Linked DNA regions of Rhinolophus ferrumequinum. The protein of the gene in region 2 purifies or fractionates together with the protein of the main gene of each other region. This does not show direct contact. Links are inferred from orthologs where the notes say so. Each region holds a gene or a part of one and is shown on either strand. Other genes may lie near its edges.

Region 1 (3,918 bases), on a different chromosome or scaffold from region 2:
CACAGAATCATATAGTTGATGTGGTTTCTGTTTACTAAATTTCAGTCATTTCTAAGTACTGCCTCCCAGAAATTATATTGCTATGAATTTAACTGGAGTTTTGTCTGTTCCCAAATTGTCAAGTCTCTTAATTAGCTCCCACATTGTCTCAGGATTTAAAAAGTTATACTCAGATAATAAACTTATATCCAAGCTGTTAGGGAATGTCCCACTGTAGACCTCATGTTTTGACATTATTTTATTACTTTTCCCTCTATAAAAAAGTTCAGTTGTGGCTGACAGGTGAATCACTGAGTTCATCAAAACTGTTGGTGAAATGGTTTGGCACTAAATTGCTAGATGCGAATTCAGCCAATTTTATCTTGGTCTCAGTGTTTCTCTAACAACTATTTCATTTAAAGATAATGTTTTCTATTTGTACCCAAATATATTTCATAATGTTCTTTGTATGCCACTCACTGTGTCAGTATGTATGCTTTCTTATCCAACAGATATCCACTATGTAGTTGTGGTTTCTACTCAACCTTTTGTGTGTAACTGGTTTCTGAGGGCTCCATGCCTCTTCCTTGCTAACTGAGGTAAGTAGAAGTCTGTGACTTCCCTGTTCAGAAGACTGGCCTAAATTAGATCTATGCATTGTCAGACACACTGATTAGCTCATTCAGGGTTGTGTTATGGGCTAGGCCCAAAAAGACATTAAGATTGCTTTGAGCGAAGCATGTAATATTCCCCATAAATGAGAAAATGTGGGACTTTTGGAGGCCATCCACCCAAATTAACTCTTCAATTCCAACTTTTTTTTTTCTCAAATGAAAACAACTTTATAGTAATTTCTTTTCTCATAAAAAGAATGCAGGCTGGGGGCAGGAGACGGCAGAACAAAAATAACAAAAAAAAGTATTTAAAAAGTAAAAACCACACTCATACTCCAAGTCTCCTTTTCTGATGTTTCTTTCTTTCTTTTTTTTTCCTTCTCGTTTCAAATCTGGGACTAGATTTCAGAGGAAATGGTAGACATTAATAGCTGGGAGGAGGGGAGGTGGAAGGAGAGGTTGAGGTCCCAGAAGCCTAGGGAAGGAAGAGGCAATTTTTCAAAAAGTGCAAGTGACCAGTAACCCCAGGGAAGATTCTCTCCCTTTCCGGTAATCGGAGGAAGGCAAACACAACTAACTGGTTGATGGAATTAGCAAAGAAAGAGTAACAGGGCCTGGTATGGGGGAGGGAATGTAGGGGGGCGGGTCCTCTTCTGCCGCACTGCTGGTGGGAGGGGAAATTGGGGACCAGAGTTGGTGGATGACGTAGCTCTCACGTGACCAAGAGCTGACGTGTGCAGAAGTCCTTCTTGTTCTGGTCGTTGTTCCCGTCTGAGTACCAGCTCCCCATTGCCCTGAGGGCGAGCGAGCCTGAGGCAGAGGGAAGAAGGAGGAGGAGAAGGAAACTGTCCCGGATCCCTGCAGGTCAGTGCCTGGGAGATTCCTTAAGGTGGGGGTGTTCGAGGGCGTAGGGCGGAGACCGTCGCGGGTCCTGAGGCGCCTCCGTCGTCTCTCCCACTCGCCACCGGCTTTACAAGACATCTGTCCCGCCTGCAGCCCATTCTGATGCTGCGAAATGGTGAGCAGGGGGTGTTTGGGGAGCAGCCCAGAAACCGGGAGGTGGGAATCTGTTACGAGCTGAGGCCGTAATCCGGAAAGGGAGATGTGGCCTGGGTGTTGGCCCCCAGTCCTCTAGGGCACTGCTGGCGGGGAAAGCCTGGACATGGGGGAGGGGGCGTGCAACGTGATGTGTCAGCAGAGCCCTGAGAAGGGTAATAAGGGTGGGAAACCTTTGACAGCTAGGCCTCCGAATTAGGAAAGAGTTTCATGTTCTGGGGACCGGTCCGTCCACCAAGCATTCGGTAGCGGCTGTTTCCAGTCTTTCTGACTGTGGCTGTGTCTTCCTGACCGTGGCTCTGTGTTTAGTGGGTCCGATCCTCTCCCAGTTGCCAGTGTTTCCATAGTTTGCGACACTACGCCAGTCAAGTGAAGAGGAAGGAAATTAACCCTGATCAGTGAAGGTCGATTTGAGGGTAAGACCATCTGGGGACCCTAAGAGGGGCGATGGTGGGGGTGGGGAGAAACCAGAGATGACAATAATATAGGTTAGGTCTGAGTCTGAGTGTGTTTATCTTACTCTTGGGACTGAGGCGAAATGGCGTGCGGGGTGTGTGTGTGTGTGTGTGTGTGTGTGTGTGTGTAGGGGGAACGGGGGTGGGGGAGAATGACAGAAGGGAAACCTATCAGGTAGTTTGTTCATAATCCTTCTCTCTCAAAAGTATTTAGTCTTCATGTTTTCGATCTGTCATCCTGCAGGTCTGCTGTAGCAGGTGGCACCACTTGAAGCAAGGGAGGAAGTTTCCTGGGACCAGTAGAGGTAGGTGTGGGCGTGGGGGCTGCCTGGAATGGGGGAGGGGTTGGAAATCCACTGCGATTGGACAGGTTCACCCAATCCTACCTTATTTCCCTAACAGGGAAGGGGCAGGCCTGTGCATATTTTGGATGGCATAAAGAGGTTATTAAGAAAAAAATCTAACAACCTAGATGGGGAATCAGGAAAGCAAGGAATGAACAGTCAGTCTATCAAGCCCTCAGTTCTCGCTGGCTCTGGTCTCTGCAGATCACAAGGATTGTTGGGTGTGGCAAACCTCCAGGGGAGGGAAGAAGGGGCAAACTGCCTGTCTGGAAGAAGTTAGTGCAAGGTTGCCACCTAGTGCAAGGGGGACACCCAAGGTTGGATTGGCTGAGGCCCCAGTAGAGACTATGGACTCCATTGCCTTTATCTAGGCTTGGGGAGGGGGTGGGCTGGAGAGGGTAGGTGGAGGGTGGAATGAGGGGGATAGAGTTTGTCAACAATCTACATTTTCTATCAAGTACTCATTTACTACTCTCCTATCTCTCTGTGCAACTCCCTGCGTGGGGCAACACAAAGAGAAGAGAAACTCAAACCCCATTTCCTTCCTCCACCCCTAGGTTCACCTCCAGTATCAGCTATTGTGACCTTGAAGCTGCTGAAGACGATTACCCTCCACAGGCCTGCACCCAGGCCCATAGCTCTTCCCTAGCCTGAGTGACTACTCGGTTCCTTGGTCCCTGCTATTGTCAGGGACGATTGCATGGGCTACGCCAGGAAAGTAGGCTGGGTGACTGCGGGACTGGTGATTGGGGCTGGTGCCTGCTACTGCATTTATAGACTGACCTGGGGAAGAAAACAGAACAAAGAGAAAATGGCTGAGGGTGGGCCTGGGGATGTGGATGATGTCGGAGGCTGTCCTGGGGCCAGGTACAATGACTGGTCTGATGATGATGATGACAACAGTGAGAACAAGGGTATAGTATGGTACCCACCTTGGGCCCGGATTGGGACTGAAGCTGGGACCAGAGCTAGGGCCAGGGCAAGGGCCAGGGCTACCCGGGCTCGTCGGGCTGTTCAGAAACGGGCTTCCCCCAACTCAGATGATACTATTTTGTCCCCCCAAGAGCTGCAAAAAGTTCTTTGCTTGGTTGAGATGTCTGAAAAGCCTTATATTCTTGAAGCAGCTTTAATTGCTCTGGGTAACAATGCTGCTTATGCATTTAACAGAGATATTATTCGTGATCTGGGTGGTCTCCCAATTGTTGCAAAGATTCTCAATACTCGGGATCCCATTGTTAAGGAAAAGGCTTTAATTGTCCTGAATAACCTGAGTGTGAATGCTGAAAATCAGCGCAGGCTTAAAATATACATGAATCAAGTGTGTGATGACACAATTACTTCTCGCTTGAACTCATCTGTGCAGCTGGCTGGACTAAGATTGCTTACGAATATGACTGTTACTAATGAGTATCAGCACATGCTTGCTAATTCCATTTCAGACTTTTTTCGTTTATTTTCAGCGGGAAATGA
Region 2 (3,918 bases):
GGCATTTGTTTTTTGGAATAATCTCAGCAGCTTCCTACTGAAAGGAAAACTGTAAAAGCATTTTACAGTTTAGGCAACGTGCAAGGAAAACCTTGAGTGATATGACCAAGGATACAAAATTAATTTAGAGGTAAGAGCAGGATTCAAGTCTTCTGATTACTGGCCCAGGTCACTTTCCACCATACTTTACTCAGTTGTCTTTCTCATTCTTTATTATAATCCACAGGCCAGATGACTCTGACACATGCCAGAGTTTGATCACCACTGTTCTATTGCATTAGGTATGGTAGTGGGGTGGTAATAATCGTCTTTATCTTTTATTGCACTTATTTGATAAGCAACTTTATTGAGGTATTATTTACATACCATACAATTCACCAATCTAAATTGTACAATTCAATGGTTTTTAGTATGATCACAGAGATGTGCAACCATCACCACAATCAATTTTTATCTTTACATTTTCATCACCCCAAAAGAAACCCCCTGACAGCCATCATTCTTCATTCTCCCTGCTCCTCCCTTCGCCCCAGCTTCTGGCAACCACTAATCTACTTTCTGTATAGATTTGCCTATTCAAGGCCTTTCATATAAATGGAATCATACAATATTTAGCCTTTTGTGATCAGCTTCTTTCACTTAGCCGGTTGTCAACTTGTACTTGTTGTTTTAACATTATCAGGGTAACAATAGAGATAATTTAGAAATAAAGCAAAGGAGAAAAAAAATCACCCATAATCCCATCTTATACAATCAACATCATAATTGTGTTTTTCCCCCCTTCTGCATGTGCATTTTTATCTGTCAAACAGATGGAGGATGCCCCTTACCCGGACCCCGCTCCCCCCCTCCCAAAGCTCAGCCAGCGCGCCCGGAGCGGAGGGAGAAGCGGCCCCGCCCATCCCCACCGGCGCCTCGCTTGCGTCACTGCTTGGAGCCACAGACCCCCCTCCCTCCTTCCGGGTCGCGGTTGCTTTGACAGAGCGCGATGGCGGCGGCCGGGTCTGCAGGGGCACCGGCGACCGTGTCGGGAAAGCAAGAGTTTTACCAGCTTCTGAAGAACCTGATCAATCCAAGCTGTATGGTGCGGAGGCAGGCAGAGGAAATCTATGAAAACATCCCAGGTCTGTGTAAGACTACATTCCTCTTAGATGCCGTCAGAAATAGAAGAGCAGGTTATGAGGTGAGACAAATGGCTGCCGCACTGCTACGACGGCTTTTGTCCTCTGGGTTTGAGGAAGTCTATCCAAATCTGCCTTCTGATGTTCAGAGGGACGTGAAGATTGAACTGATACTGGCTGTTAAGTTAGAAACACATGCTAGTATGAGGAAAAAACTTTGTGATATTTTTGCGGTGCTGGCCAGGAATTTGATAGATGAGGATGGCACTAACCACTGGCCTGAAGGTCTGAAGTTCCTTATTGATTCAATCTACTCTAAAAATGTGGTTCTGTGGGAAGTTGCACTTCACGTTTTCTGGCACTTTCCTGGGATTTTTGGGAACCAAGAGCGGCACGATTTGGATATCATCAAACGGTTGTTGGACCAGTGTATTCAAGATCAAGAACATCCAGCAATCAGGACATTATCCGCTAGAGCTGCAGCTGCATTTGTACTTGCCAATGAGAGTAATATTGCTCTTTTCAAAGACTTTGCAGACTTGCTCCCTGGAATCTTACAGGCTGTGAATGACTCATGCTACCAGGATGATGATTCAGTGCTAGAATCCCTTGTTGAGATTGCAGATACTGTACCTAAATACTTGGGTCCGTATTTAGAAGATACTCTGCAGTTGAGTCTAAAGTTATGTGGAGACTCAAGGCTTAGTAATCTGCAACGCCAGCTGGCCCTTGAAGTAATAGTCACCTTGTCTGAAACTGCAACCCCAATGTTGAAAAAACATACAAATATTATTGCACAGGCAGTTCCTCATATATTAGCAATGATGGTTGATCTACAAGATGATGAGGACTGGGTAAATGCTGATGAAATGGAAGAAGATGATTTTGATAGCAATGCAGTTGCAGCTGAGAGTGCACTAGACAGACTGGCTTGCGGGCTCGGTGGAAAACTTGTTTTACCAATCACTAAGGAGCATATCATGCAGATGCTTCAGAGCCCTGACTGGAAATATCGACATGCTGGATTAATGGCCTTATCCGCCATTGGAGAAGGATGCCATCAGCAAATGGAACCAATTTTAGATGAAATGGTTAACTCTGTTTTGCTTTTTCTTCAGGATCCTCATCCAAGGGTGAGGGCTGCAGCCTGTACTACACTTGGACAGATGGCTACAGATTTTGCGCCTAACTTCCAAAAGAAATTCCATGAAACAGTGATTGCAGCACTGTTACGTACCATGGAAAATCAAGGCAATCAGCGTGTGCAATCACATGCAGCTTCTGCACTTGTTATTTTTATTGAAGACTGCCCCAAATCATTGCTAGTTCTGTATTTGGATAGTATGGTGAGAAATCTACATTCCATCTTGGTGATTAAACTTCAAGAGTTGATTCGGAATGGAACTAAGTTGGCCTTGGAACAGCTTGTGACAACCATTGCCTCAGTTGCGGATACAATAGAAGAAAAATTCATTCCATATTATGATATATTTATGCCCTCACTAAAGCACATTGTTGAGCTTGCTGTTCAAAAAGAACTCAAGCTTCTGAAAGGAAAAACTATTGAGTGCATTAGCCATGTTGGTCTTGCTGTTGGGAAGGAAAAATTTATGCAAGATGCATCAAATGTGATGCAGCTATTGTTGAAGACACAATCAGACTTAAATAATATGGAAGATGATGATCCTCAGACCTCTTACGTGGTTTCAGCGTGGGCTAGAATGTGTAAAATTCTTGGAAATGATTTTCAACAGTATCTTCCACTGGTTATTGAGCCTCTTATTAAGACCGCTTCAGCTAAACCTGATGTTGCTCTCTTAGACACACAAGATGTGGAGAATATGAGTGATGATGATGGCTGGCAATTTGTAAATCTTGGAGACCAGCAAAGTTTTGGAATTAAAACTTCAGGACTTGAAGCAAAAGCAACTGCTTGCCAGATGTTGGTTTACTATGCTAAGGAATTAAGGGAAGGATTTGTGGAATACACAGAACAAGTTGTAAAGCTGATGGTTCCTTTACTGAAATTTTATTTCCATGACAATGTTCGAGTGGCAGCAGCTGAGTCCATGCCTTTTCTCCTGGAATGTGCAAGAATTCGTGGCCCAGAATATCTTGCACAGATGTGGCAGTTCATATGTGATCCCTTAATCAAGGCTATTGGGACTGAACCTGATACAGATGTACTCTCAGAAATAATGAATTCTTTTGCAAAGTCCATTGAAGTAATGGGAGATGGGTGCCTTAATGACGGACAGTTGGAAGAACTGAGAGAAATATTGAAAGCAAAACTTGAAGGTCACTTTAAAAATCAAGAATTGAGGCAGGTTAAAAGACAGGAAGAAAACTATGACCAACAAGTTGAAATGTCTCTGCAAGATGAGGATGAATGTGATGTTTACATTCTGACCAAAGTATCTGATATTTTGCACTCATTATTTAGTACTTACAAGGAAAAGATTTTACCATGGTTTGAACAGCTGCTTCCATTAATTGTAAATCTAATTTGTTCTAATAGGCCATGGCCAGACAGACAGTGGGGATTATGCATATTTGATGATATCATAGAGCACTGTAGTCCAACCTCATTTAAATATGTAGAATATTTTCGGTGGCCAATGCTACTAAATATGCGAGATAACAACCCTGAAGTCAGGCAAGCTGCTGCTTATGGCCTGGGTGTTATGGCACAGTTTGGTGGAGATGATTACCGTTCTTTATGTTCAGAAGCTGTTCCACTGCTGGTAAAAGTTATTAAGTGTGCAAATTCCAAAACCAAAAAAAATGTCATTGCTAC

The links.
Region 1: the proteins of RANBP6 (region 2) and ARMCX3 purify together in Homo sapiens (co-immunoprecipitation; 3 studies listed by BioGRID and IntAct, counting the BioPlex papers as one, with this or other methods). This does not show direct contact. The link is inferred for Rhinolophus ferrumequinum from reciprocal best matches to the Homo sapiens genes RANBP6 and ARMCX3.

The regions. Positions count from the first base shown.
Region 1 is NC_046284.1:52,950,284-52,954,201, reverse strand, and holds the start of ARMCX3 (armadillo repeat-containing X-linked protein 3), read left to right. Parts: upstream 1-1,303; 5' UTR 1,304-1,457; intron 1,458-1,958; exon of another isoform or gene 1,959-1,978; 5' UTR 1,979-2,065; intron 2,066-2,348; 5' UTR 2,349-2,409; intron 2,410-3,005; 5' UTR 3,006-3,148; coding exon 3,149-3,918. UniProt on the Homo sapiens protein: Regulates mitochondrial aggregation and transport in axons in living neurons. May link mitochondria to the TRAK2-kinesin motor complex via its interaction with Miro and TRAK2.
Region 2 is NC_046295.1:30,829,247-30,833,164, forward strand, and holds the start of RANBP6 (ran-binding protein 6), read left to right. Parts: upstream 1-961; 5' UTR 962-988; coding exon 989-3,918. UniProt on the Homo sapiens protein: May function in nuclear protein import as nuclear transport receptor.